4 linked regions of the Rhinolophus ferrumequinum genome follow. The protein of the gene in region 4 interacts with the protein of the main gene of each other region in a pairwise test. Links are inferred from orthologs where the notes say so. Each region holds a gene or a part of one and is shown on either strand. Other genes may lie near its edges. The genes, in order: TFCP2, NAB2, PDLIM7 and PHF1.

Region 1 (7,817 bases), on a different chromosome or scaffold from region 4:
CCTATTCTGTATATTTCATAGAGATGGAATCATGTTGAGTGGTCTTTTGTGACTGGCTTCTCTCATTCAGCATGTTTCCAGGGAATCTCCTGTATTTTAACTATAAAGTATCTGCCATGTATTAAAATGTAAGAAAAAATGTGAGAACATTAAAGAACCACTTATGAAAAGAACATACTAAATACAATGGCAGATCAATAATCAAAAACAGAAATCTAGTTAAGATGAATCTCTATAAAACAAACCATTAAAATAAGCAAAATAGAATAAAATAAATATATTACAAAAAAATTTTTACAAAACAAATTGCTTGTCAAAGAAAACGTTTTCCCTAAGGAAGGTGTTGGAAAACCAATCACAAGGTCTAATTAAAAGGAGAAACAGGAAGAACAAAAAACCATTCCTTGCCTTTGTCTATCAAAACCTCTCTAGTCAGTGTTTCTCAAAATGTGGTCCCTGGGCTACCTGCATCAAAATCATCTAAGAACTTGTTTTAAAACATCGAATTTCTGGTCTGTGCCCAATCACCAAAGATGGAACCCTGGAAACTACTTTTAATAAGTATTCCAGATGACTCTTATGAATACTAAAGTTTGAGAACTAGTATCTTATTAACACAAATTAATGCAAATGAGTAAAAGTATGCAAGATCTAAGAGAACAGTGACAAGAGCAAAACGCATGAAAAAAGGTGAAAAAAATAAAATTTTGGCACATTGTGCTCCTAAGAAAACATTACATTTGATGTTTGAAAATGATGTTTTGAAAACTCCTCTGGATTTGATGATGGCAAAAAATTCTAAATGTGTAAATATGCAAGCCATTCTTACTAATATCTGTGAAACCACTCAGACACAGAAAGCACTCACCAGTATTAAGGTCGCACAGTAGAGTGCATAGTAGATAAACAAATGTTTGTTGACAATGTTAACTACTTTTATAACAAGTGCAGTTATGTTTAATTATCTCTATCCTAAACTCTGATAACCTAGGCAAAAACTGAGCATTTTGCTGTGGTAATCTTTACATGAACAATAGCATAAATTGTCAAATATTATGTCAGATTATGGCATGCAAGCTCAGGGTCCAGACATGTACTTTCAGACCAAGTTAATCTCTATTTTTTATGGTCAGACTCATGTAAACAAGAACAGGGAAAACTAGAGTTAAATTTCTCAAGACTAAAAGCACTGTGTGATAGAACTCAAATTTCCCTGAAAATCACTAAAATATGCATACACGGAGAGCCTTTATTATTCTAACTGTAAGCAAAGATTCCTGAAGATGCAGTATTAAGTTCTAACTCATAATTTTATTTCACGAGGAAAGTCTACTTTGGTTTAACAGGGGTAAAGAAAGGATGTTTACATTATGTAATTCTCAAAGGATCTTACTATCAGAATACAAAATTTGTCCACTTTCTCCATGAAAAGCATCTTTCCAAATTAAAGTGTTATGTTCTACAGTCTCTTTTGACTCCCTTATTTAGCTTACCCAAATATTTAGATGCAGATGTTTCAACATTTCCAGACATGATTCTTACACATCTTATAAACGAAACAAACTATACTGGGGGAATGAAGTAGCTAATGCATGCAAATACACTACATGGGAAAGTTATGTTGCTTTCAAAGAATATTTTTATTTACTATCACCATTTGCCTTGAAGGTCTAGAAGCATCTAAAAGCTCTCTTTGACAGTTTTTCATTTTACAGGCCTTGTGCAGGCTATGATACAGATGTGCGGACTTCTTCACCAAGGTCTCACATTTCCTTCCAACAAGCACTCAACCAATATTCATCATAACCACCAGCTCCCAACTCCTCAGCTCCCTAGACATCCCTCCCATGTTCCATGTGGCCTCTTTTTCACGTTAAGTCCAGTCCAGCCTATCCACACACACACCATCAGTCTCCAAGGCTCCCACATTGGCACAACAGCCTCTCAACATTAATCTGGTTGCTAATCAAGGGCCATTCTTCCTTCTTCCTCTGACTGCGGACATGACACTGCCTAAAATCTCTTGCTCCATGTCTTCCACAATACTCACTACTTAGAGCGACGAAAAGAAACAAGTCCCTTTTCCCTAACCGCCGACAGCTTCTTTAACTCGAAACACTCCCGCCAACTCCCCCCGGCCCCCATCCCTATTCTCTGTCCTTTCTTTGCCTTTGTTATTCAGAAGGTGCAGGGTCTGGGAAAATCTCACTCACCTCATGCTATAGGCACCAGCACCCAGTTCCTGGCCGATCCCCGAGAGACTAGCATCAAAGTCCTGCACCAGCCCGGATTCAATCACTTCATCCGCCAGAGGCAGCTTCAGAGCCCAGGCCATCCTGGCTCCTTCCTTGCCCCAGGAGACACCGTTTCTTGCACAAAGGTGAGTAGTGTGATTCTACCCAACGGGGGCAAGAATGCAGAAAACTCCAAACCAAGATCTCCCACTCAGTACCCCCCAGCCGCCCCCCAAGCCCGACCCGCAATGTCCGCACACCTAAACTCCCGTACCCTTGGCTCCTTGTTCTGGGCTGTCCAGACTTCCAAAATCCCTCCCACCCAGCTCCCTGGAGCCGTGCGACGGTCCTACCGCTTAATTATTCCAGACTGCCCAGACGCAGCCCTGGACTCCCACTCCCTAGGCTCTCCCCGTTTGGTCGTGGTGGTCACTCGCTGCTTCCCAGAGGAGCAGCAGCCACCCGCTGCCTACCCAGCGCTCCCACGCCGCTTCCGCACCTTAACCTCCCGCCCCCTTCTGCTGGGAGCCCCCTCCTTCCCGGGGACCCAGTCTCCCCGTCCCCTCCAGGCCTCGCTTCCGGTCAGCCCCAAGATCACTTCCGGTCACCCCCACGGCTCTGAGAACTACATCCAGGTTCCTGCCCGGCCGAATCCCTGTCCCCTGCAGCCCCGCAAGCCTCGAAACATGGAAGGAGAAAGTCCAGCACGGACTTGAAACCCAGACTCGCCACGCTCCTCCGCCGCCCGCCGCCCCAGCGCCAACCAATCATGGCGCCCCCTTGCTTTGCCGGTCCGGCGAACGTGACGTGACCCTGTCGCTCACCAATGAAAAAGAGACTTCGTCGGCCTCGGCAGTGATGATAGGTTAGTTAACCCATGGCTCCCCGCCCCGAAGATGGGCTGGGCGATCTGGGAGAGGACCTGGTGTGCGTCAGGTATCTCAGTTTAAACGTCCCTCCCTGTGGCTACCCTCGGTCCGGCACCCGCTAGATACTAAGTCCGCACCCTAAGGCGTGGGTGGAGCCTTTGCTGTGGTTTTCCCAACCCACACCCACCCCTGGCGGACCCGACCGTTTCCGAGATGCTCCCTAAGTGCGCTCTTTTGCTCCTGGAATACTCTCCTTAAATTCACCTCGCTGGAGGTCACGACTCTGCTTAAGTCCCACTTCCTTCTATCGTCATCCTATCTTCTTCATTCTTCTTAATGCATTGGAACAACAAGACATAAGAAAGGTGAAAATGTGGTTTTTAAAAGGTGGTGATCTGAGGATCAGCATTTGGGCTCGCGTCTTCACTTACTAGTTTGGTGACTTCAGAATAATTGCTTAATATCAGTGAAATTAAGCTTCCTCATTTGAAATGTAGGGATAACCATACTTGTTCCACCTTCCTACTGTGAGGACTAAATAATAATGTCCATTGTTTATGGAGCGTCATCTATATACAAGGAACTTAATTACATTATCAATAATCCCCAAGACAATCATGTAACTAGAACTATAATTCTAAAGGTAAGTATTTTACCAGCAAGCAGAGAGGGGAGGCTAAGCATTTAAATTGGCCAGAGCTAAATTGATGTGCCAACTTCAGAGCCTGACATTTTTCACAAGACATTGCCTATATGTGAAAGTATTGGTTCATTGTTGTAGTCCATTGTTGAATTTTTTACAGTCTGCCTTGAATTGAAATATTGTATATATCTGCCTTTTCCACTAGACCATGATCTATAGAAAATAAGTCTTTCTCAGGCTTGTGTTCTAAATATCTCCTAGATACTTCCTGCATTCAGTAGGACTTTTTAAAATGTAAAAATACTTACTGAATTAAAAAAAGAAAGAGGTTGACATGAAGTTGACAGTATGTCCCCTGTTTCAGCCACAGGCTTCTCTTTTTGAGGGCTCTAGGCTTACCCATTTTCTTACCTTAATAAGCCCTGGCATCCAAGTCTTAGTTCATTCCTGTGACACGCAGTATCTCTTCAAGCCATATTTTCTTACCTTGAGGCAGTTTTATCTCAAAACATGCCTATGGGTTAAACAAAAAAAAATGGGTCCTGGGCTCAGAAACCAAAAGAGAGATGTCATAATCAAAATTCTTTGTATTCAAGCATTGTATCCTGGGTATTTAAAACATCTATTAGGTAGAAAACCATGCCTTGACGGACCAACAGGTCGATGACTAGATGCATAATCTTGGGCAAGTAACTTTACATCTCTGAGCCTCAGTATTTTAATCCATAAATTACTGAAAGAAGGTATTAACCTTCTTCCAAAATTATTGTGAGGATTAAATAAAGTGCTAAGATGCCACATAAATAATAATTATTCAATAAATGTTAATTCCAGTCTCCCACTAGCCCATTTCTGCTTCTCTTAAGATTGGGTGGGTATTATTATCCTATTTAAAAAAATTAACTTACATTGTATGGTATCTTATGGTTTTAGTAGTACTTTAACATATATTGTCTTATTTAATCCTCATAGAAGTTTTTGTTTCTTTTTTTAATGTGAAGAACCTGAGACTGAGAGAGGGCAGAGTGATCAAGCTCTATATATAACTTCTTTAGAAATTTTCCTGAATATTACTCTGTGATTCAGCAACTTCACACTACCCTAGAGAACTCATACATATCAGGAGACTTGTATGAGAATGTTAATGGCAGCATTATTTATAGCAGCAAAACAAATGTCCACCAAGAAGAAAAAGGATAAACTAGAGTGTAGGAGAACATTACACAGCACTGAAAATGAATACAGCTACTCTCAAACACATGAATAAATCAATCTTAGAATTGTGGTGGGAAATGCAGAAGTCTGTGCAATGTGACATCACTTTACAAAGATCAAACCCCAGAAAAATTAAGCAATATATAATTTAGGGAAATATACATACATTCCTTTAAAAAGGAATGAAAGGATAAACACAACTCTAAATGGTCACATTAAGGAAAGGCAGGGGAATGGGCTAGGGAAGGAACTCAAAAGTAGCTTCAACAGTGGTTAATAGTCTATTTAAGGTGAATGGTAGGTCCGTGGGTGATTGTTTCATCATTATGCTTCATAACTTACAAAAAATATTTTCTTGAATTTGTAACAAATATTACATAAATTAGCAACTGAGCCAGGAACTACAATCCAGGTCCCTGATTCTCTTAGCTGGGCTTTGTCTACAGTGATACCTCTCTGCTGGTGGTACAAGTTCCTAGGAATTGCACAGATACAGAGCAAATAGTAGCTAATAAGGACAGTCTCATGTTTACTGAGCCCTTCCTAAGTGCCAAGCCCTGATTAGGTGTTTTATGTATATAAAACATTTCATCCTCACATCACTCCTGTAAGGAAGATACCATTACTAGATTAATTTCTAGATAAGGAAACTGAGGCTTAGAAAAATTAATTGGCTTCTAGGGTCACTCAGCTTGAAAGTGGTAAAGTCTGACTGACTGACCTCGTAGTCTGGGCATCTAACCATCATGCCACCCTGTCCCTGGGGATGGTTATAACCTTAAAAAGATCTGCTTCCTTCCTGTTCTTTTCAGAGATGAATTTGAAGCTTGTGGAAGTGAGAATATTGAATTTTCAGAAAATTGTGCCCATGAGGCATATTGGAGGAAGGATGTTTTCTCATATACAGAAAAATAGCTCAAAGGGAATGGATTTAAAATAAAACAAGGAGTATTCAGATTAGATGTTTGGAAGAGATAACTGTGCCATATCCAGGAATCTCAATGGAACTTTGTTCTCTGGAAAATATTTAGAAAAAGAAAAACATGTATTTCTTGGAAATGTTTGAGCCTATGTTTAAATTCTGAACCAAAACAGAGACTTTGCAAAGGTTTTCCTTATCTTAATTCTGATTAATTCTAAAATAAACAGGTGAAATGAAAGGTGATTCCTGAGCCTTGGCCTGTCCCAATTGGAATGCAGATCAGCCTTGAGATTTATGTCCTTGAGCCTAGTTCCCTGAGGGAAGAAGATCCTTGGAATTCTATTACTGGGAGGAGTGGACTTTTTCCTCCTCCCCTTTCCTCAAAATAACTAAGAGTGAAATTAGAGTGGCAGGGCTGGAAACCCAGGGATGCCAGGGGCAGTCCTAGGGGCTCTGCCTCCAAGAAAAGATCACCAGTGTTTTCCTGGGAACCCAGCAACACTTACCAAGAAACCAAATTTTTGCAGTTATAAATCCATCCCACAACAAAAATCATGGCTCTTGTTAGACATAATAAATATCACTAATTAACCAGAGAACTTGTGGCACAGAGTTCCAAATTCAGTATTCTAGACCATTGGGTAAAGTTAAGGCTCATTGTGAAGGGTTCTTGTCCCTAGAATAGGTCCTGAAATTAGACTGGTTTAGATGGAACATAGCAAGGTTTACCCTGGTGGGTGGAAACATGGAAATCCTACCAAAGAGATCGGGAAAGATAGCAATCCCCAGGTCCCACCCAGTAAATAAGAGGTAAGGTTAAGCATACAGGCTTTAGAGACAGCCCACCTGTGTTCAAGACCTGATTCAGCTGCTCACAAGCAAAGCAACCTTTAGTAGATTCCCTGTCTTTTCTATACCTCAATTCCTCATCGGTAAAATGGGTATAATAATGGTTCTTACTTTATAAAATATTATGGTGAGGATTAACTGAAATAATGCATGTTGAGTGCTTAGAAGAGAGCCTAACACAGTCAGTGATCAGTGAGGGTTAACTGTTATGATTGACAAGAAGGGGACCCTAGCACCTATCCTACCTACCTCTTAAGACAAAACAATTCTCTCAGAGGCTTGAGGGCTCGAGCTTCCTGGACCAGTACCCTTCCATCCCCTACGCTTCCCTTCTCATTCATTTACTCAAGTCAGTCATTGTTGCTGGGATCAATCACTGGGCTTTTTCCTCTAGGTACAGAAAGAAATAATTACCCAAGCAGACATTTTTGAGGGGCTGACCATTTAGCTTTCACTCTACATTTTCCTACATCCCACAGAGACAGCCCATGAGGCCCAGTCTGGCTTCTTTGAAGGACCCTGCAGTTGAGAGACAAGGAAATGAAAAAAATTTCACACCCACGCAGTTCCAAGGAAGCTCAGGTTCCCTTCAACTCTCTCATCTTGAGTCCAGAAACCAGCCCACATCGTCTCTAGTTCATAAAATGCCAGTTCTCCCTTCACAGCTGTCCACAGCACATGGAATATCTGAGATATTGTGATTTATAAGAAATACATATATTAAAGAGAAAACCCACAGGCCCAAAATGGCATAATTTGTGCTAAAAGCCCATGATAGCAATTCTAGATTTAATAACTGATCTCATTGCAGTTTTAACCTCTCCTAGAAATGCAATCATGTTTTTTGTTGTCTTTCTTGGAAATTGTATTGGTCCTGGGGACAGGAGGCAGGCAGCCCCTGCCTCCCGCTGAGGGTGCCCCAGGCTCTCATGTTTCCTGTTACCATTGAGGGGGCCGTTCACAGTGCTCAGGGAGGCCAGGAAGACCTTGAGCTTGGGCGGAGCACTGAGGTGAGCACTAGGCCTAGAGCTGGGGAAGGAGTCCAGGCCGCCGGGGCCAGGACCTGGTGATTCAGTGGCAAGTCC
Region 2 (6,968 bases), on a different chromosome or scaffold from region 4:
TGCAGAACTGGGCAGCAGCCTCATTGATGGTCAGCTGTGGACAAAACCGCCAGAGCAGTCAGAATCCTAACTCCCCACTGCCTGTCCAGATGTCCTCACAATCCTTCACCATCAGACAAATGAGGCCCACCCGTCAGATGCTTGCTTGGGTTTTGACACTATGCCGATTTCTGAGGAAGACAGAGGTCAGCACCCACAGCTTTTTAGGGGCCTGGAGCCTCCTTCACTCTTGTGTGGTCCTGAGCAGATAGGACAGGTAGGCTCTGCTTCCCCTCACTTGAGGAGGAAAGCATTGCAAGAGCTGGGGTTGGAGTGGGAGAGAAGGGGTCAGGGGCGGGGGTCCTGGTCAAGGGGTAATGAAACAGACTTGGGAGTGTGCAGATTCTCAGAGGTGAGTAGGTTGAGGCCTGGCAGCCAAGAGCAATCCTGGGAGGCTGGGGTCCTCACCTCATGCAGGCTGAGCTGCTTGCCCTCCCGCCGCTTAGAGTCAAAGCGGCCATAGATAATGCTGTATTTGCGGATCTCCTCCTCCTTCTGGCTGTCGTTATCATCCATCTCAAAGATATGACCCACACTCCGCGCCAGCTTCTTGTTCAGCTTCAGAAGGGAAGTCACCTCCCCAGAATCCCCCCTTGGGAAGCTCCGGAAGATTCTCTCCACACTCTCCACCACCATGCGGACCATCTCTGGCTCCAGTCTATCCGGACCACTCCCAGACCCAGTTGCTGCCAAACCCCCAGCCCCGTTCCCCTCAGGGACTCCTCCTGCTGCAGGTGGGGAGAAGGAGGGTGAGCCAGCCTCCTCTTCTCCTCCCACCCCAACATCAGACTCTGGAGTGCTCCGGCCTGGCCAGATTCGGGCATCCCCAGTCCCAGGTCCCCCAGGCAGTGGTGACAGCTTCTCTCCAAGTTCAAGGGGGCTCTTTGGGCTAAAACTGCGAGCACTGCCCGCCTTTTCCCCTGGGCTGCCATGCCCATTGCTCATGCTCCCTTTCCGGGTGCCTGCAGTCTCTGATATCTTGAAGAGCGGAATACTGGAGACTGGCACAGCAGGCACTGGCTGACTGAAGAGCCCTGGATTGGTGGCCCACTCTCTCAGTGCCTTCTGCAGGCGTCGGACATGGAGGGGCTTGGTGGCCATGCCCACAAGTGCCATGATTTCCAGGAACTCCTCCTCACCCGCCTCGCACAGTTGCTGCACGTCGTCCCCTCCCTGCTGGATGAAGGTCTCATAGTAGGAAAGAAGATTGGCGCGCTGCAGGACCCGGTACAGCTGCAGCTCCCCCAGTGTCCGAGGAAGTGCCATGGCTCGGGCACTAGGCCTGAGGAGGAGGAGCACAAGAGATAGAGGGGGGCAGTCAGTCCTCCTACTGGGTACCAACCCACACTCACAATTGTCTTCTTTCCTGCCTGCTCCTCTTCCTCTCTTTTGAATGCCCTTTCTGCCCAGTGCCCAGACTATGAGAATCAGGCACTGTTCAGAGGCACAGACACGCCAGTGCCATCCCAACTGACCAGAAGTACCAAAAGCCAGCCCAGTCTCTGCAGAAGTCAAAGTCTCTTAGCCTCTATCCACAGCTTTTACCTTTCTGGCCTGGGCAAGGAGACCTTGAGCACTGAGGCGAGTCAGCACACCCCAGGATGGCTAGTTCTTCTCCAGAACATGGTCCTCACCTTCCATTCTAAATACCAGTAGGTCTGCCCATTACTTGGTGATATCTCACACTGAGGTGAATGTAGGACACCCCCTTCCCATCCTCCCCATAGGGGATACCTTGGACCATTGCTGGCCAGCTTCACTCCCTAGTGGCATCCTGCCCATGTGCCTGAGAGGGGTGTGGCCCCTTAGCTGTCCTTTCCCATTCTGTGAGCCCGGTGGACCTCTGCTCTCCTCGCTACCCTCAGCTTTTTCCACCAGTTAGGCATTCTTAGCACACTCTTGCTCTCTCCTTCCAGGACCTCCCCTCTGCTCAGTGCCACCCCTTCCCCCTCTAGCCCCTCTCGCAGCAGTGACCTTCCCCAACTGCTCTGTAGGTAGGCCTGTCCCTTCAACTCAGGCAGGGGGGAGGGGAGGAGTGCCTCAATTGTTCTTCTCTGGGCCTGTTCCGCCCACACAAACTCCTACAGTGGTAGCGTCTGCAGGCGAAAACCGCCGGGGGGCTCCCGCCTACCCTCTCCCTTATTTTCCACCCACATCTCAAGTGGAGTGGGGGAGCGGCTCAAGTCCTCGTGAGGGAGGGGCTGCACGCCGAAACTCCCCTCCCCACACTGTAAATAAAGGTACAGAAAATCCGAAAGGACGCCTAGGGTATCCCCTGCTTCTCCACAGCCCCGTTGATACTCTCTTGGATCAAAAGCGCCGGCTTCTGCCGGATCCCTGGGCTCGCGTGCCCCATGCCAAAGACAGGCTGAGCCAGCGGAGCGGCCCTCCCCCGACAATGCTACCAGCTAGAGTTCCAAGGCTTCCCCTGGCGCTTGGGGGCCCCCACGTTCTTTGCAGGGGGCTCACATGCCAGGTCATGCCCATAGAGTAAACGGGGGATGAATTAGATACTGTTCTTTCACATCCAGCTTCATCAAATCTCCTGCCTGCTCCCAGAGCCCCCTAATTTGAAGACTCACCCCCTTTTCCATCAGTCTCCACCCCCCACCTCCGTCCCGCTTCCCCTCGTCCTCTCAGCGACCTCCGCCCTCCGGACCCCTTTCCGAGTCCAGCTCCACCCATCTCCACTCCCCGCCGCTTCCCTTTGCCCACTAACTTGAGTCTGGGCTGCGGAGTCCGGCGGGCGCTGTCCCCTCCGCCAGGCGGCTGCTCGGCTGTGGGGGAGGGCGCTCTGTGCATGGACGGCCGGAGACCACCGGGGCTACCACTCTTGATGCCCGGCGCTCGGCGCCTGGTGCGCGCTGCGCTCTTCCCGGCGCGCGAGGCCGTGTCCGCCGCGGTCCGGGCTCCGTCCCTCCCTCCACGTCTCCTCTCTCCAAGCCTCCGCGACTCTGTCTGTGCCTCTGCCCCCCCACTCCCCGGTTGCGCTTGCCGCCTCTCCGCGCCTCCGCCCCCGCAGGACGCACGGGGAGCGAGGCCCCGCGCGGTGCTGGCTGCTGGGCGGGCGGAGGGCGTGGGTAGAGATGGGGGCGGAGGCCGGGGGCGGGGGGCGGGCGCCCGGGCCTCTCCGAGGGCCTCGGAGACACCGCGACGGAGAGGAGAGGCGGAGACTGGGGGGGAGGGGGTGTACAGCAGGAGGCGGGGGCGGGGATTCGGAGCCGGGGCGCCGAGGTGGGACTAGGGTGACCGAGGCCGGGATAGGGAAGGCGGGTTTGGGGACCTAGCGGGAGGGGTGAGGTCGCTCCATGCCACCCACGCCGGATGCACAGCCGGCCCTCTTCTCGCCCACTTACCCACGTGAGCACCCAGGAGGCGACATTCCTCCCCCCTCCGCGCGGAGAGCGGAGTTTCTCAACCACGCACAGGTACACAAAGACACAGAGAAACGCACGGACGTACACACGCGCCTAAACAACTACGCGGACGCCCACTGCCCACACTCAGGACTCGCGGTGGTGGACGTGTGAATGTTAGGGGTGAGCCGAGCAAAGTTGGCGGAGTTTCAGGGTGCGCGGCTCCTCTCGTGCATGCATCTGATTCCCATAGTGTGTGCATTTGTGGCAGTTCTGTGCGATTGGGGCTTTGCAGGAATCTCTTAGGTATCCCAGCGCTCTTCTCCGGCCAGGAAAGGAGTAATTTGAAGAGACCACTTTGGGAAACCCAGGCCTTCCCCATCCCTGCCTCTAGTTCAAGCTGAAGTTCGGGGAACAGGAATGGGCGGGTTATGCTAGAACCTACCACTTAGACGCGTTCATTAGACGCGTAGGGTTTTGTTAGCGCATAGGTCAGGCAGGGAGGGGAGGGATACCCCGCCTTCGTCTACTATTCGTACCCTATTTGCCGAGGATGGGAACCTGGTCCTGGGGAATCCTGTGTGGCAAAGCTGGGATATGGAGAATACCCCTTCTGGGGGGACGTCTATTAGGGAACTTCGCTCGAGAGTCTAGTGGAGAGTCTAGTGGAGGCTGGGCAGGAGGCCGGGAGCCGATGGCGCGGCTCCCTACGGAGGAGCTGGAGGGAGGAGCTCCTTCAAGGATCCTAGCCCCTTCCACAACCCACCATCCCTCCCCCCTTTGTTTCTTCTAGCCCCATCTGGTTCCCATTACACTCCCGCCCACGGCTGGGAGGACTGGGTTGGGGACAGGCGGGGGTTCTGAGGGCCTGGCCCTGCGGCTCTAGGCCCAGAGGAAACGATGGCTGGGGGAAGGGGGAGGGAGACTGGAAGCGAACAGACTGGCCAGAGGCAAGGTTCCCTCGGTCTGAAGCCTCAACTCCGCCCCATCATTCCGCAGTTCTGAGTGGCCCGGGCCCGGCAGGGCGTGGGCGGCGTGTGCGGAGGCTGGTTCTACATTCCGGCCTGGCGAGGGGACCTTTCGGTCTCCGCTGGGGGCAGAAGAGGAGGGGTACATCACTGGAGGGATTTCAGTAGCTAAAATTCTCTTTCCCGCCCCATTAAGCCCCAACCCAGTGTGGGGTGATAGGACAAAGCTGAGTCCCTCCCTATCCCCTATCCCGCGACTGGGGGGCACGGCTAGACAGGCTCCTTGGGGGGGTACTCTCCGACCCCCTGTGTTCTGTGTGGGCGCCCTTCCCCCATCCCCCTCTGGTTATTTTGGAGTCTGGGCTGCCAGTCGCTGGCCGCGGGTTTCCACGTGCCTCCTCCCTCCCCCTGCCCACGCTCCCCGTGACGCACATCCTCCGCCCACGCAGCCTCTGCTGAGGCGCCCCCCTCCCTCCCACTTGGCCCTCTTGGGGCGGTGCTGAGCCCCCGTATCCTGAGGGAGACGCTGGACTGAGGAAGAGGGCAGTTACCCACTGGGCGCCGGGCGCCTAGGTCCCACCCCAGGAAAGAAGACGAGGGAGGAGCCAATTCAGAGGCTTTCACTCCTCTGTCCTGGGGCGGGTACTCGGCCGAAGAGGGGAGAAAAATCCCGCCGACAGAACCTGCCATCTCCCCTAGGTGTCTGTCGGCGTAGGAACCTGTGTGTGAAACTCCTGGGCGTTTCTATCTTTGTTTCTCAGGGTTGTCAGGAGGTTCAAATGAGAGGACGTATGTGAAAACTCTGTAAATACATTGTAAAATGCTAAGCAAATTTAAGATATTATAGCCAGTTCGTACTTCTGTAGCCAGAGACTATGTATTTATTTGTATGTGTTTCTTTACATCCACTGTGTATCTGTGCCTCTGTCTAGGTTTGTATGTGAGCCCCTATGTGTGGATTTTAAAATGTATACATTTAAAAAATCATTGACTTGTCAAGCCCCACCAAAAGCCCAGAGCACCCCCGCAGCCAGGGCTGCTGAGATGTCTGTTCTTTGCTTCCCTCCCACTTCTACCACCCCCATCTTCCCTCCTACTCCCTTCCGTTGAGAACAAGGAATTTCCAGTCTTTAGCAAAAGGAGAGACACAGAGACAGAGAGGCTGAGACTATGAGAAACTATAGAAAAACATAAAGATAAGGGGTGGTGTGTGTGTGGAAGATGACAAAAAGTGGGTGGGACAAAGATCTTCATTTCTTCTCGTTTTCTGCGTGGGCTCCATTTTCTCCAGGGTGGCCCAGGACCACTTCCCTACTTGACTTATCTGCTCCCCCCACCTCAGAGTTCTCATAGGCACGCAGAGCTACGGATCCCCTTTAATGAAATGATTTATTGTCAATGAATAATTTATTAATAAATAATTGACTAATTTATTGTCTATAGTGGAAGAGTCCAGGATGGGAAACAGTATCCTCAGTCCCAATTTTCCAAGAAAAGGGGAAAAGACGGTGAAGAAATTGGGTGAAAGAGGAGTGAGGAAATCCCGAACCTGGCGGACTCTCATTCCCAGGGATGTGTACATTTTAATTAGCAGATTGCACGTCTAACCCGCATCCCCTCACCCCGCCCAATTTTTCACCAGGCTGAATCCAACTTACTTTGCAAGGTCTGGCTCAAATGTCACCTTCTTGGACCCTCTCCTTCCTGTACTCCCTCTGGGCAGAATTGCTCCCATCCCTCAGTGGCCTCATGGCTCTGTGTACACTCACTTATAGTTGCTTGTTTCACCCATAGCCCAAGACCTCTGCGGGGTAGCTCGGGTATCTGGTGGGCCCTCTGAAACAAACGGGTTGATGATGCTATTTCTAGGCCCGAGCAACTCTGAAAAGGGCAATTGACATAGATTTTACTCCAAAAGGAGCTGAACGTGGGCAAAACTGTTTAAGTGGAGACATTTGTTTTCCATGTCTCCATCCTTCTTAAAGTTTCCAGCAAGTCTCACAAGTCTGGTTCCTTGACCTTCTAAAATGTCCACTATTCTGGTAAATTAATTCATGCCCAGGTGTTAAAGGTAGAAGGCTGAAATCTTTGCTGATAATAGAAAAATATAAAGTAATGATCCTTTTTTCCTTTTTCAGTAACATATTAGAATTATAGTCTAAGGAGTGTTATCCTTCAATTTAGGCATCTTTGAGGAGGTGCTTCACTGTGCCTCAAAAAGACAAAGGAACTGCCTTTAAGGAGCGCATAGACTCGTAGGGGAGATGATAGACGGATAAACAACTACAATGTAATGCAATAATACGGGGTACAAACGGTGCCATAAGTATAGGAAGCCAGTGATCTATTCTGCCTGGAGTTGTGAGGGACAGGTTTTGACAGACATCTAAAGGAGATGATGCAGCCTGGGATTCTGAAGTCTGAACAGATTTCCAGAAGGAAGCCACAGTCAAGTCAGAGAGAGCAGAATGTAAACTTACCTGGAAGTATGAAACAATATGTTTGAGAAACTAGAAATTGTTAATTATTGCTGGATGGGTGGTGGTGGTACTTAAAAAGGAGCCCAGGGAGGTGTACGAGGCCATTAAGGATATTATAGACTAGG
Region 3 (7,532 bases), on a different chromosome or scaffold from region 4:
GAGAGAAAAGCAGGAGAACTAGGATAGTAGGAAGGGATGGTGACTGGAGAGAGAAGCAAGGAGGCCAGAGCGACCAAAGAGGGGGAAAAAGCCAGGGGGCTGGACACTGCATGAGGTGGGGGGTGAGTCAGCCTGAGGGCTCCACTGAGCAGCCCAACCCCCCAGTCCCAGACGTTACCTCATCTCCCAGGCCTGGGCCCACAGCCAGCCCTAGTCCCTCCCTCCATGCTGGGGTCAGGGGAGAGGGAGAGAACCGCCCCAGCTCATAAAAGACCACCCCACCCACCCACCCACTAGGGCCCAGGTCCAACTCCAGGGCTGGGCTCAGCTAGTGGTCCCACCCACATGCTAGGGCTGCTGACAAGGGAGCCAAGAGTGCCCCCAAAAGGCCACATCTGAAAGTACACCCCCCAGACCACTACATTGCCCATCCCGTCCAAAGAAGAAACTGAGGCTCAGATGCCAGCCAAGGCCTACAGCTCCCCAGCCACACTAGCCAGCAGTTTCCCAGGGAGGGGGATATAGGACAGGTTTCCAGGGCTGCAAGGCTTGAGGATTGTACAGGGGTGTGTGTATGTGTGTGTGTGTGTTAGGGGGACCACTGCCCTTAACTACCCTGCTGACCGGGCAGTTTCCAGGGGAACCCCTCGGAAAAGTCCCTGGGAAAAACGGTAACCAACTCCCTGCCCTGGCCACCAAGCCCAACTCCCACAGACCTACTCCACCTTGGGGCACCTCTAAGGCTGGGCAGTGCCTGGACAACCTTCTGGCCCCCTCTGGGCTGTGCTTGCCCTGGGCTTCCTGCCAACAGCTGCCTGCCCACCAGATGCCTGGGTGGGCCTCTCTGGACAGGCGGATGTGGGGGCAGGAAGTCCCCACCCCCTCCTAACCCCCAGACTAGTCAGACTCCAGCCCAAGGGCTGACCTCACTGTGCCTAGGTAGGCAGTTTGTTCTCTGTGCCTTACAACTGGAGCCATGGACTGGTAGTCACCAGCTGAGGCACCCACTGATGGGCTTCAGGGGTCCAGGCCTAGGCAAGCCTTTTTGGGCTCTGCAGACTATAGCCACCAGTTAGCCATCCCAGTGTGGGGCTGCATTCTTTGGCTTATAAGGCAATCCCCCTGCCACAGGGAGGAGCCAGCCCCCAGCTCCGCCCCCACCAGGGCAGGCTCTCAGGAGCTGGTCAGAGCCCTACACCTCATTCCACACCCACTAGGGGTCAAAGGTCACTGCATCCAGTAAGGGACCAGTGGGTGGGGATGGAGGTCCTCACATAGGCTGGAAGACCCACCCGGAGTCCTACCCACAAACTGCAGCTATCCTAGTACCTTAATGCCAATTCCTGCTTGACCATGGACTCAGAAAGAGCCCTTCCATCTCTCAGCCCTGAGTTCTCATGTGGAAAACCACGATAATAATGGCTATTTCCTGGGTGGCAAAGAGGTTGAAGTGAGATCCTGCAGTCAGAGTGCCCTGCCTGGAGCCTGGCTCCAAGTATTGCTCCCTCAAGCTGCTCAGACAGTTCCTAGAGACCTCAGGTTCCCCTCCTGCAGAAAGGGCACCCCTGGGGCCTCAGAGGTGGCCCCAGGAGCTTCCTGGAGTGGCATCAGATACAGTGCAGTGCTGGGGAAGTGTGGGGGCTCCTCTTCCAGTAACCCAGTTGGGAGTCTTCATGGCAGGTGCCCCCCACACCTCTGGACCCGGATACCTCCTGGCCTATTGGCCCTGGTTCACTCCTGCTCAGATCCCTCCCACACTCCCCATACACACTGGAGCACCCAAAGACTCCTGAGGGAGACCCTCCCCCAACCTAGGCTTACCCGGGAGATGGAGAGGGGCACATTGAAGTCCTTGCCTCCCTGAAGCCGAAAGCCCCAAGGTGCTGGCCCCTCGAGCACCACCTTGAAGGAATCCATGGTGCCTTCTCCTGAGAGGAGAGAAAGGTGAGTGGCTGGTATGGTGGGTACACAAGCACGTGCAGCTCCATACACCAGCCTTGGACTGATGCCAGGCAGGCAAGGGCAGATGCTGAGCACACCCAGGGCACAGGTAGTCAGGCTCCTCTCCTTGTCAGGTCTGGCTGGACTGTTGGCTGGCAGGTCTCACTTTGGAAAGACAGGAACAACCCCCCTCCTCCAGGGACTGTTGAGGGTGAGCAGAGCCCGCATCTAGCTTTTAGGTTCTTTTCATCCAGGAGTGGGCGGCAGAGCTAATGTGGCACGGCCTCCCCCCAAGCCAGCCTTGAGTTTCGTTCGGTGGGGTGAGTCAGGGGCCGGCGCTCCTCTCCCCCGCCCCCAGGTCCCAGCAGGCAGGCCGCGGCTGGAGCCTGCTCGGACTATATAAGGCGTGTAAGCTGACACTGTGCAGAGAGCCAGCCGAGGGAGCACCCGGGGGCTCGGGACTCCGGGGGGAGGGGGAGAAAGGGAGGGGGCTGGAGCGGGTCCTAGCCATTCCGGGACCAGTCGAGCCAGGGCGGGACCCCTGGGCGCTGGGGGTTGGGGGCGGGCAGGGGTGCGGCCCTTGCGGAAATCGGTGGGGGTTGGGACCCCAAAGCATGGCCAGGAAGGAGATTCATCCTGGGGCTCAGTGGAAGTGGTGCCTCCCACACAGGCCTGCTACATCCAGACGTGACTCAGTTTCCCCCTGGTTCCCCTGCCTGGGCCCCACAATATTGGACAAGTCCCGGGGGCAGGAAGCAGGGCAGGCGCCAATCGGCCCCGCCGCAGCCGGCTTCGCCGCAGGAAGGCGGAGGCGGAGGCGGGGTCGAAGGCAGGGGCCCGCGCCCGCGGGAGGAAGCTCAGTGCTGGCCACGACCCCTAAAGTCCTCTGTGCTCCCTAGCAGCCCCCTCCCTGGCCCAGCCCAAAACTCCCGCGCGGTCACCGGTACCTGCTCTGCCCCTCCGGGGCGCTGCTCGGCAGCGGGCTCAAAGGAACCGCGTTGGGACTGGCCGAGGTGTTCTGACCCCGCCCCCGCGTCCGCCGTCCGCTTTGAGACCGCGGAAGGGGGCGGTACCCGAGGCCACGCCCCATCGAAGTCACGCCCCCTACTGGCCTCTCCGGCGGTGGGAAGCTCCACCCAATCCTTCCGCCCCGCCCAATCACGAAGTCCCATCTCGCTTTGAGCTGGAAAACACAGCCCGCCAGGGTCCCCTCGCCGGAGCGGGGTCTGGGCGGGGTCTGGATGGAGTCTGGGCGGGGCCTGGATTGCGGTCTGGGCGGGGCCTGGGCTTCGCGACGCCGCTCGCTCAGCCCCTTGCGCCTCCTATTGGTCGACTGAAAAGAAAGCCGCCTTTGGAAACAGTCGTCTCTGAAACTTAATTTCCTCCTCGGAAAAATGGGACGATAATGCTCGTTTCACAGGGCCGCCGTGAAGACAAGCATTGTTTGGCGTAAGGCTCAGCCATCGGCGGCTGAGGGAATTGGTGGGGGGCACACATCGAGTTGGTGTCAGTTGAAGGGGGAACAGGGAAATTTGAAGCTATGTTTGCACAGCACTGAAAGCAGAAAGCAATGGTAGGAGTGGGTGGAAGTAAGAGGAGGGGCCCCTTGGCTGGGCCCTGAGCCTGCCCTGTGACCCTGCCCTCTGACCCTGGTCGGTTAGCACGGCTCAGGGTTGGCCCCACACTGTCGAGGTGGGATGTGTCCTGGTACTCCGTTCCAAAGCGGGCAGCGCCTCCAGTGGGGGTGTCAGAGTCCCCACTTTGCTCCTCCGTCCCTGCTCAACCTGGGCAGCAGCGTAGGCGGAGAGGAGGAAATTGAGCAGAGACCGGGAGTGTGCGGGTGAGTGAACTCAGCTCCTTCTAGGACATGGGCACTGCAGTTCGCCCCCTTCCGCCATCATCTCATTTCCCCCCTCTTGTACATCATTCCCCTCACTACACAAACTGCTGTACGAGTCTCGTGTTTAAAGAAATCCTCTCTTGACCGCACGTCCTTCTCCAGCTATGGCTCTTTTATTTTACTCCCCTTGAGAGTGAAATTCCTCGAAGGAATTCTGTCATGCTGTCTCGACTTGCTCTCCTCCTGTTCTCTCTTGAACCCACTCCAGTCGGGCTCTTGTCCTCCCCACTTCAATTCTCTGAACTAATTCCCTCTTCTCAAGGTCTCCAAAGACTTCTGAGTTATCAAATCAGTGGTGCTTCTTCAGCTTTCCTGTGACTCTACCTAGGAACAGCACTGGTCCAGGCGCACTCCAACTTTCCCCAGCCTCATCCCTCCTCCTCCATTGCTGCTGCTTCTCCACCTCCTTGGAAGGTCGTCATCTGTCCCCCAGCCTGGCCATCAGATCTTTCCGCTCTACACTTCCTCTCTGAGACCTCCTCCTGTCCTGTGGCTTTCAATACCACCCATATGCCAAGGACTACCAAGTTATGTGTGTAGCCCTGACCTCCCCGCAAGATCGCCAGGCTCTAATAGCCAACCACCTGTCCAACCTCTCTACTTGATGTCTACTAGATATCGCAAATCATTATGTCCCAATTTAAACTTGTGATTTTCCCACTTCCCTAGCTCCTTCCTCACTTCAGTAAATGGCACCACTGTTCATCCACCTGGTCCAGTAAAAACTATGAAGTTATCCTTCCTTCCTTTCTCTGTCATACTCCAAATTCTGCAAATTCCTCCTTCAGAATATGTTCCACATCTGGTCACTACTGCCACCATCGGTGCTGCCACCCATCTCGTGCCTAGACCCCTTAACAGTCTTCTAACACATCTCCTTGCTTCTATCCTGACCCACTCCAGAATCTTCTCCTTGCAGCAGCCAAAATGATATTTTTAAAGCAAAAATTGTAGCACATCACCTTTGGCTTTTAGCATTCTGGTGGGCTCATGTTGCACATAAAATTAAAGTCCTTAAGATGTACATGGCACTAATAAACTGGTTCCACCTCCCACCTGTCTCCTCCTCAGTCACTCTACTCCAGTCCCTCTGGCCTCCTCACTGCTCCTCCAACACGTCAAGCATATTCCTGCCTCAGGGCCTTTGCACTTGCGGCTCCTTCTGCCTGAGACATTTTCCCCCAGTTATCTAAACAACAGGTTCGCTCACTTTGTTCAGGTGTCTGCTGAGATGTTGCCTCTGAGGAGCCTTCCCTGATTCATATTATCTAAAACAGCAGCCCCCTGACACCTCACCTACATCATGCACTAGTCCCTATCCTGCTTTATTTTTCCCCAGGGCACTTACTACCATCTGACATTATATTAAGTGTTTGTTTCTTCATTGCCCTTTGTCCCCATTAGAATGTCAGTCCCATGAGATCAGGGGCTGTCTGTTTTGTCCATATTTTCCCCAGTGCCTGCACACAGTGTCCCTGCTGTGAAGGAAAAAAATGAGAGGGTGAAACAGAAATTGAGCGAAGGAAGAAGGGTCAGCCGGGGGGTCCTGGCAGTCCTCCAGCAGAGAGGACCCCAGGATCTGGTTCCTTGGGACTGTGCAAGACTCAGACCTGGAAGGCCACCAGATCTCCCTGCATAGGCAGCCCCTGGGTAGGGAAAGGCACTGGGCTAGGACACACTGCCCCCTCGTGGCCAGGACACTTGCAGCGGCAGGGCAACGACCCTAAAATCCCAGAAATCTGTTTCCAAAGACTTTTGCTTCCAGTGTGGTGGGAAGCTCACAGCCACTGCCATGAAACAAAGAGGCTTCGATTTGTAATAAAGGGAAGCACACCAGATTGGGTACTCAGAGTCCTGGGTCCTTTCTGGCTATGTCCCTGACACTCTCGGTAACCTACAGTGTGAACTGGGATTTGCTGAGCTGGCAAGGGCTGGATTGCCACCATGGGGTGGAGGGGTCCCTGCAGCAGACACTTGACTGGAGCCTCCTTGTCTCAGCTTGCTCTACGGCAGGCAGCCAGATGGCTCATGAGAAGACGTTACCATCACAAGGAAGGTCCATAAGTGGAGCCAAAATCTGCCTCCCCGTGGCTGAAACATCCTTTCAGGCTTTGCCATCTGTGGCCACACTGCACGCAGCCCCTTTCCCCCAGCCTCCCTTCACATGACATTTGGAGATGAATCTTAGACACCCAGAATCTTGAACAGCTGCACACTTAAATCCAGAGCTCATTGGAGAGGTTTGCACTGAAGGTACGCCACGTCTGGGAGACATGGAGACAGGATTGGCTCACTTAGGGCTGTTGTTCTGAAGCCTGGCTGCACTCTGCAATCACCTGGGGAATTGAAGAAATGGCTGGACTGAAGCCCTAGCCCCTGGGTGTGGGCCCAGGCGTGGGCATCTTTTAAAGGCTCCCAGGTGATTCCGTGCAGCCAGGGCTGAGTCACACTGTGTCGGAGGCCAGAGCCCTAGGCAGAGCTGGAGCAGGGGAGGAGGGAAACGAGTGAAGGAGGAGTGTCAAGTGCTGCTGAGACGTGGGGCGAGTCCTGGTCCCAAAGGGAGTCCAGCGGCTTTTGTTTTGGGGAACAAGGAGGTTGGTGACCCTGATAAGAGCAATGTAATGGTGTAGTGGGCACCACGGGGAGACGAGTCGGAAGGAAGAATGGAGGAAAGTGGAAATGAGAGTAATCAACAACTCTTTTGAGGACTTTCTCTGTGAAGAGGAACAGAGAAGTGGGGAGGTGCTGAAGGAGAATTTGAGGTCAAGGGAAGGTTTCTTTTAAAGATGTGAAATTATAGAGCATGTTGGTGAGGCTGGAAATGAGGAGGATGGAATTAACGGGTCGAGGAGAGAGGAGACAAGTCAGTTTGCCGAGCTGTGAGGAGGGGAGAAGAGCTGGGGTCAGAGCACGGACGTCTTGGGAACAGACACTTCTTCCAACATAGGTCGGGAAGACAGTGCAGGTGCACTTGTAGGTGGGAGGAGGTGGAGGCGCTTCACTTCTGTGGGCCACTCTTTGTTTGGATATCTGCAAGGTGGGAATGGGCAGGGGTGGAGAGAAGGTGAAGGTCTTGGGGAGGGAAAAAGCAGCTACTCTGGTTTTCCCAGGTACTCTGGTTTTCTCCATGCTTCACAGGATCTCTGGGCAGCATGGAGAGCCTGTCTCCGTGAGGTTTGAGATCACGCTGGTGAAGAGAGTGCAGTCAGCCTGGTTACATGAATTTCTCTAATGTCTCTGGCCATGGGCAACTGCCAGGCACTGTTGGAGGCTGGGGCTTTGCTGGACAAATAAGAGCAGGGCGTGCAGGGCGTGGCTCCATTAGGGGACTGCAGAATCTAAGTAGGACAAGGATGGAATTGTGGAAAGCAGTCGTGCAGACAGTGCAAGAAGGGTCTCTGTGGCTCCGGGCAGCTGAGGAGCCCTATGTACCCTCAGAAAAAGTGGGCCGGAAGGAGAGGTGGCAAGGCAGATGTTTGGAAATGATTGTGTCACTGTGAAGTGACAATGGAGCATCACTGTCTTTAAGATGAAGTTCAGGATGTGCCAAAGGTATGGGGCAGCTGAGGCAGAGTTGTGGTCGACGGGCCAGGAGGCCAGGTCCTCGGGGACACGATGCTCGTGTACATGGAGATCCCAGGGGTGGTGACAGGAGTAGCAGGAGGGGAGGACAGTAAGCCTGGCACTAAAG
Region 4 (7,112 bases):
CCCCCTGGGCTCCTGGAGAGTGCCCTGGTCTCACCTGTCCCCATAGAGGAGAGGCTTGCTCAGACACTGGGTGCAGGCCTCATGGAACCACTGCAAGCAGCTCTGGCACTGCAGCATTTTCAGGTTCCACCTGAAGGGGACACGGGACTGGTGACCTCTAGACACTCCCTCCTTAACTGCCCCAACCCTGCTCACCACCTACTCCCACCCCCTTCAGCACTCCCCTCACCATTCTTTCTCCATTCCCTGGGGTTCCCCCACCACCACACTGTCACTCATTCATTAACCCCGCCCCCTCATTACTCACTCCCCAGGACCACCACAGTAACAGTAGCTCTGCTGCCGGTTGCTCAGATGTCCAGCATCCCAGTCCAGCCCCTTCAGTCCATATGGCAGAGATAGCTTCATGCCCAGCATGGCTCGGGCATAGGGGCCCTTCTTCAGTGCACCCCCCCTCTGCAGAGAGAGAACCGGCAGGCTGCTTCAGAGGGGTGGGGAGAGAAAGACTCGGGAGAGGCTGTGGGTGGGAGGCTCCCACAGGAAGATGCCTTTACCTTGGTGGCGATGGCAAAGATGCACTGGCGGCAGACCCAGGATGTGCCCTCTCCCTCTCCTGGGGCTGGGGCCCTTGGAACATGGCAGTCCTGGTGATAAGCTGAAGAATGATATTATCGATGGTAGAGCATTTATTGCATTGCAAACCTGCGTGTGCTAGGTATCAGGATAGGAAGAATCTTATCTCATTAATCCTTGACCATGGTCCTGGGGAGGGGGAGGGGTATTACCCTTATTTTACAGGTGAGAAAACTGAGGCTCCTAAAGGTTTAGGGACTTGCCCAAAGTCCTATGGTTTGAAAAGGGAGTATTTGAACCACCCTCTGCCTGCAAAGCTCACACAGCCCCATTCCATGGCTGCCTTTTCCTATGTTGGAAGGGAGTGAGACTATAGGTTCAAGGAGACTGGCCAGAGCAGTAGCTTGGGGACGGAGGCCAGAATAGGTGGCATAGGACCAGTCCTGGTGGGAAGGGTCAGAGACCGCCCAGAGGGCCTAGGGCAAGCTGGACCACTCAGGTGTCCTGCCCTCTCACCGTGGCGACACTTCTCACAGCTGACCAGCCGGTTCCCAGGGACCACAGTCTCAGAGCGACAGACACAGCAAAGGAATTCCTCCCCGGGGAGGGCAGCTATGAGGGAACACAGTGTCAAGGAACCTGTCCTTAGGTCCCCTTCTCTCCCCCAAGCCAGGTTTCTGTCTTCCATGGGAAGCCACTCCCAGGCCTCTAAGATCTCACCAGGGCTAATGTCTTTCCATAGAACCAGAAACTGGGAATCATCCTCAAACTGGACCAGACACACCTCCCGAGCACTGTCCACCTGGAATGGGTGAGCATAGAGGATGAAATGGGAATCAGCATTAGATAAGGGGAATGGGGAGAGGTGACAGGTCAGAAGGGTCTTACCTTCTTGATGGTCCCCAAGTATAACAGCCCATCTGTCCATCTGGCCAGCACATCTTGACCCTCCCAAAGTCGAGGCCTGGGGCCTGAGGTGGGAGCAGGGGAAGCTGGGTCCCAAAGTGGGGGGGCACCAGAGCGGCTCAGCCGGGGAGGCTGTGCCATTGCATCCTGGGGGGGGCCTAGCCAGAAGTGGAATGGGAGGAGAAGGTTATGAAAGCCAAGAAACCTTCCTTATTTGCCTATTTTTCTGTCAAGGACTGAAGCAGCTGCACACCCCCCCCCCCCACCAGTCTCCAAATCCCTGAGACACCTGGATAGGAAACCAATCAGCACCCCTCCCAAGCTTCTTGACTCCAGCTCTCCCAACTCTGGTGACTGCCTCTCCTCTCCCTAACGGCCCCCCCCACCCCCAACCTAGTTCTCTAGTTTCCCAGCTTCCAGACCTCCCCTGGGATATTATATCCTGGCCTTGAGATTTTAGCAGAAACAATGGTTGCAGAAGCAAAGGTTACCACTCAGTTTCTACTGTCACCTTCTCCTGCTGTTTAGAGGTATCATAATTGGGGTGCTCTGTTACCCAGAGATGTATTTTGGGAGCTTTTCCAGCGATGTTTTCCAGAGTAGAAACAGCTGCCTCCCTGGGCCCGCGTGTCTCATTCAGAACAATTATCCTGATGTCAGGTTATGTCAGGTCGCCCTCAAATTCGGGGCTCCCTGCCCTCGGGTTAGATAACTTCCCTGAGTGCCCCGGGAGGGGGGCGTGTCCCAGTCCCAGTCTCTATTACCCACGACCGCGAGTCCAACAGGGGACTTCAGTCGGCCCAGCCGGACCCGATGCCAGGGCGACGAGGCTCTCCCGCTGGCGCCCTGCGCGCCGACCCCCGGCTCCCTGCTCCCCCCCCACCACGAGCGCCTCCCGCCGCCTCCTTACCAGTGACAGCTGGGGACGCCGGGAGCTGGGCAGAGGCAGACGTGGGAGACCGAGGCGAACCCCCCGCGCCGGGAGGGCACGTCTGGGCGTCGGGGGGCGTGCAGGCAGAGGCCGGGGGGTCCCCAGGCCCAGCCCCTCCGTCCCGGCGGCTCTGGGGCGTATGACGCAGCAGCCAAAGCAGCGGCAGCGGCAGGAGGAGGCGGCGGGGGGAAGGAGGGGAGGGGAGGGGAGGGACAAACTGGCTCGGGGGGAGGGTGGTGGGAGGGGAGGACTGGGGGGAAGGAGGAGCCGGGGGGCGGGGGGACGGGCACTACTTCACCCCACCTCCCTCACCTCCAACAGGCCTGGAGGGCGCCGAGCCAGCGGCGGCCTCTCCGTTGGTGGGGCGGGCGGACAGTCTGACCTGGCGGGAAAGGGAATCCCCGAAGCCCCTTCTTCGGAAGGGAGACCCGCCCAGGGGGCAGGAGGGAATCCCCCGCCTCCCGGCAGCCCGCCCTCCGGATTGGCCCCAGCCCCATGCCACATCCGTTAACTGCCCCCCCAACCTCCATGGTCACTCCAAGTCCCGCCCCCGACCCCAGTTCACGACCCCGCCTTCCATTCACCCTTCCCTATGCCCCCTCCGCGCCCACCTCCCTCTAGTGCCCCGCCCTCCTCTCCCGCCTTTGCCCCCGCCCCACCCTCTAGGTGGCAAGTTGTCCCCCCTAGCTTCTGCGCACGCGTGACCCCTCCTGCGCGCGGCACCTGGGAGGGCCGAGCCCCTCCTTTCTGGGGCGGCGGCCGTTGGCTGTTGGCGCGACGGTCTCGGCGGGCGTGAGCCCCGCCCCGCACTTCCAGGGCCGGGGCGCCGACCAAGGAGGGCTAGAACCCAGGCGGTGACGCCGCCGAGAGCCAGCCAATGGGCAGCGGGCAGGGCCAGGCCTGGCCGTTCGAACGCGAAGGCCGGGAAAGGGCGGGAGGAAAGAGCCAGCAGTTAATGGGAGGGTGTGTCAGTCCCGTCCTTGGGTTCAGGTGGCCACCTTTCCGGAGCTAGGGTGGCCTGTGGCAAGCGGGGAAACAACTAGTGGCTGTGGATAGCTAGTGGGCACACCTCTTACCGTGTTTCCTCAAAAATAAGACCTAGCCGGACCATCAGCTCTAATGTTCTAATGTGTCTTTTGGAGCAAAAATTAATATAAGACCCAGTCTTATAATTTTTGCTCCAAAAGACGCATTAGGGCTTAGAGCTGATGGTCCAGCTAGATCTCATTTTCCGGGAAACATGGTAGGTGTGGACAACCAGGAAAGTATGGGAGCTGAAGGCCACTCAGGGTACAGCTTGTCAGGGAGAAAAGCAAAGTGCAGGCTTTTGCACTGCAAAACACAAATTGCTGGGCAGAGTGGACAGATCCACAGCCCCATATTTACAGATGTGAAAAATATGTCCTTTCTTGAGCAATTGCTAATAAAACCTTTATTTGAAAAAAAACCCAAAAAACTTTTCTTTATTTAATAGGTCCAGGTAACACAGTGCCCCCCCTTCCCCCCCCAAATCACCCTCTCAGCCCCAACCCCCCAACCCCCAGGATCTGGATCTGTTTTCATTTCCTGTTGGCCTGGGCAGTACCAATAACACACTGGTTCACCTGCGGGCAGGGGGGTTAGACAGGATAAAAAAATTTTCAGAGTAACCAACAGGCTGGGTTTCCCAAGATCAACCTCCCAATCCCCATGGTTGGTTCTATGTCCACTAGGCACACTAGGTCTGAAAGTGGTGAAAAGGCCTGAGAAGGGATGGGAGCCCCACCACACAGGAGCAGACAGAGAAGGAGCTTTCATTTCTAGCAATACTGTGGATTAGAGACCCCAAATCCTTCCCATCACTAGCGCTGAATAAACTAGATAGAACAATACCAACACTCATTTAGGAACCAAGGCTCCTTGGAAAATGAATGATTCCTAGTCTAGGGCAGGCAATGTACAAGATGAACCTAGAATAAAGACTACTGGGGACCTAAGGGACACAAGAGTCAATTTGAAAGAGCTCCCACTGGACAAAGATGGAGTAATTTGAGCATAAAAAGAATGAATGACAACTGACAAGGACACATATCAAATACATAAGCATCTGTAAAGATAACCCCTTGATAAAAACTCACTGTTTACCTTTGGAAGTTGCTAGAGTATCAATGTATACTTAAAATTGATAAAGAATTCAACATTTATCCCAACTTTCCTATATGGACTGAATTTTAGAGTAATCAAATAGATGGCAATAGGAAGCACTTTATAGAAGAATCTGGGCTAATTAAAGTAGAACTGAGAAAATCAGGAAATCATTTTTAAATAAAGTAAAATAAAGAATAGAAAAAAGAAAAAATAGGAAAAAACCAAAACTTTTTAAAAAGTAAAAATAAAAATCATCATCATCATCACCATTTTAACTCAATGAAACAATAGACCTAGGTATGATCATTGTTTGATCAAATCACTAGGTAAAAAAGTTGATAGGGAGTTTTTTAATGGATAGATCAGGCTGACAATACCCAAATCCAACGATCAATTTTTATATCATTGAAAGTGGAACAACTAGATATTAGGTGCCTCCTGCTATGATGCAATAGAACGTGTACAACCCCATGTAAGTTTTCTTGCTAAGAAATTTAAACCTGACTCAGATCTAATCAAGCCTCTAAACCTAACTCCTAAGACAACAACAATTATGGAAGAAAAAGGCAGCAACCAGCCCAAATCCAGGATATAGTTATTCCATAGGACAAATCACCCAATTTCTTCAACAAATAAATGCCATAAAAGAAGGCAGGGTTGTTATAGATGAAAAGAAACTTAAGAGATCATTTCAACCAAATAGTATGAGTAGCCCTTGCTTCGATCCTGATCAGAACAAACCAAAGTATAAAAGACATTTTCTGAGACAATCAGGTGAAATGTAATATAAACTGGGTATTAGAGGATATTAAAGAGTTCAAGTTGTTGGGTGTCAACGATTTGATATACCTTTAATTGAACTTGCAAGATAGCAAGGTAAATCCTGATTAAAGCAGAAGACCAGGTCAGGGTGCGAAGGCGGTTGACTACTTCCATGGCAACAACACAGGCTGAAGCCTGAGTGCGGCAGAAAGGCACACGTGATCAGAGACTCTTACTAAAGCCAGAACCCATCACAGGGTATAGTCTCAGGGAAAAAATTTCCCTCCAGAGGCAGACTGTAAAGAAACTTTCTGACTCAGCTCTAGAGGAGGGAACATAAGTCTCCTAGAGAGTTCATAGCCATGGCCATGGCTAACCCTCGTGGGGTTTGGAGCCTGAACTCACACTATTTGGAAAAACCTCTAAATCTCCTTTGATCCAGCAATCCCATTTCAAAGAATCCTTCCCTAGATAGATAGATGTAAGTAAGCAAATAGAAAATGACATATGTACAAGGTTAGTCAACATGGCCTTGTTTGTAACAGAAGAGGGGCGGAAACAATCCAAGTGCCTAATAGAGGTGATAAACGTCAGTGTATCCACAGTGGAGTCCTAGGCAAATATAAAAATAATGGGATGATTTCTGTGTGCCTGTGGGGAGTAATCTTCAGGTTGTCTTGTTAGGCGAAATAAAGTGTAGAATAACATAAATCTAAGAGAGGGAGAGAGATGTCTTTTACTCGTATGTAAGAAGGAGGGGAATAAGCACAAGTGTATTGCTTGTATTTGCAAAAGCAAACATTCGAAGAATAAAATGATAAGTGATAAAAATGACAGGTGGGGAGCATGGGGCGGACAGGAGTAGTATATAGCTTTATATGTAGTTTTGACCTTTTAACCACCTCTTTTTAAAATCTTAAAAATCCCTAAAAAGCCAACAGGTGAAAAATGGATCTATAGGGAATAGAGTCAATGGAATATATCAGTCAGAGGGGCAATAGATTGGGGGGGGGCGTTATCACTTTGTGAGGGATGAAATGGCTAGTGCATTCTTTTGTACACCTGAAACTAATTTAAAAAAAATGGATCTAGGTGGGTAGTGCCCCAGACGCCTGGCCAACATAAATCCTTTCTGGATCAATGTGCCCCTGGCCTAAAGGACAGAAGGGTTTGGGACAGAGAAGCCCACAGTCACCCAGGGGTCCTGACAGAGGCTGGGCTTGGTGGTAACCGCACCTTAGAGGCAAAGCGTAGGGAGTTGAGGGACTCGGAGACGTTCTCTTCTAGTGGGGAAATATTCACAAACATGAGCCTGTGGAGAGAGGAAAGGGGGCCAAAACCCTGCATTAGTGGCTGGTGGAGCCTGGACCCCGTTTCCCCTTTCCCACCCCTCACCCCAACATCACAGTTCCGACCCTTTCCACTCACATCTTGGCGCTGCCACCCAGAGAGTTCTGCAGCAGGTAGGTGAGCTTGCTGTTCCGGTATGGCACATGGGACTCCTAGCAGGTTGAGAGGGACAAGTGACTAGGCTAGGATCGGGTTCAGCATGGTCAGCTCCAGGCCCCACCTGACCCAGCCTCATTCCCACCTTGTTGCTCAAGGCCATGATGACCAGCCCCAGTGTGGACAGGCTGCTGTTAATGGCCTGTGTTTCCCGAAGACGCTCCCGCTCCCCAGGGCCAAGGGCTAAGCCGGGGTCTAGACGCTCGCTCCCAGCCAGGTCCACAAGATTGAGGCGGGCCCCACACTGTAGGCCTCGTCCAGTGTGCTCCCCAGAGATCTGCAGCTGGAACACACTGTGGCTGCGGGA

Evidence for each region.
Region 1: the proteins of PHF1 (region 4) and TFCP2 interact in binary tests that used the Homo sapiens proteins (3 or more experiments, as listed by UniProt). The two-hybrid records come from large-scale screens. The link is inferred for Rhinolophus ferrumequinum from reciprocal best matches to the Homo sapiens genes PHF1 and TFCP2.
Region 2: the proteins of PHF1 (region 4) and NAB2 interact in binary tests that used the Homo sapiens proteins (3 or more experiments, as listed by UniProt). The two-hybrid records come from large-scale screens. The link is inferred for Rhinolophus ferrumequinum from reciprocal best matches to the Homo sapiens genes PHF1 and NAB2.
Region 3: the proteins of PHF1 (region 4) and PDLIM7 interact in binary tests that used the Homo sapiens proteins (3 or more experiments, as listed by UniProt). The two-hybrid records come from large-scale screens. The link is inferred for Rhinolophus ferrumequinum from reciprocal best matches to the Homo sapiens genes PHF1 and PDLIM7.

What each region holds. Positions count from the first base shown.
Region 1 is NC_046293.1:51,630,262-51,638,078, forward strand, and holds the start of TFCP2 (alpha-globin transcription factor CP2), read right to left. Parts: upstream 3,020-7,817; 5' UTR 2,947-3,019; exon of another isoform or gene 2,396-2,946; 5' UTR 2,336-2,395; coding exon 2,214-2,335; intron 1-2,213.
Region 2 is NC_046293.1:56,142,757-56,149,724, reverse strand, and holds the start of NAB2 (NGFI-A-binding protein 2), read right to left. Parts: upstream 3,001-6,968; 5' UTR 2,842-3,000; coding exon 2,759-2,841; intron 1,322-2,758; coding exon 448-1,321; intron 35-447; coding exon 1-34. UniProt on the Homo sapiens protein: Acts as a transcriptional repressor for zinc finger transcription factors EGR1 and EGR2. Isoform 2 lacks repression ability.
Region 3 is NC_046307.1:5,128,154-5,135,685, reverse strand, and holds the start of PDLIM7 (PDZ and LIM domain protein 7), read right to left. Parts: upstream 3,009-7,532; 5' UTR 2,889-3,008; intron 1,929-2,888; 5' UTR 1,918-1,928; coding exon 1,822-1,917; intron 1-1,821. UniProt on the Homo sapiens protein: May function as a scaffold on which the coordinated assembly of proteins can occur. May play a role as an adapter that, via its PDZ domain, localizes LIM-binding proteins to actin filaments of both skeletal muscle and nonmuscle tissues.
Region 4 is NC_046286.1:3,721,778-3,728,889, reverse strand, and holds the start of PHF1 (PHD finger protein 1), read right to left. Parts: upstream 3,010-7,112; 5' UTR 2,390-3,009; intron 1,638-2,389; 5' UTR 1,621-1,637; coding exon 1,462-1,620; intron 1,376-1,461; coding exon 1,294-1,375; intron 1,186-1,293; coding exon 1,090-1,185; intron 656-1,089; coding exon 555-655; intron 457-554; coding exon 308-456; intron 131-307; coding exon 35-130; intron 1-34. Other genes in the region: kinesin-like protein KIFC1, read right to left, coding at 3,970-4,014, 6,536-6,611, 6,728-6,801, 6,891-7,112. UniProt on the Homo sapiens protein: Polycomb group (PcG) that specifically binds histone H3 trimethylated at 'Lys-36' (H3K36me3) and recruits the PRC2 complex. Involved in DNA damage response and is recruited at double-strand breaks (DSBs).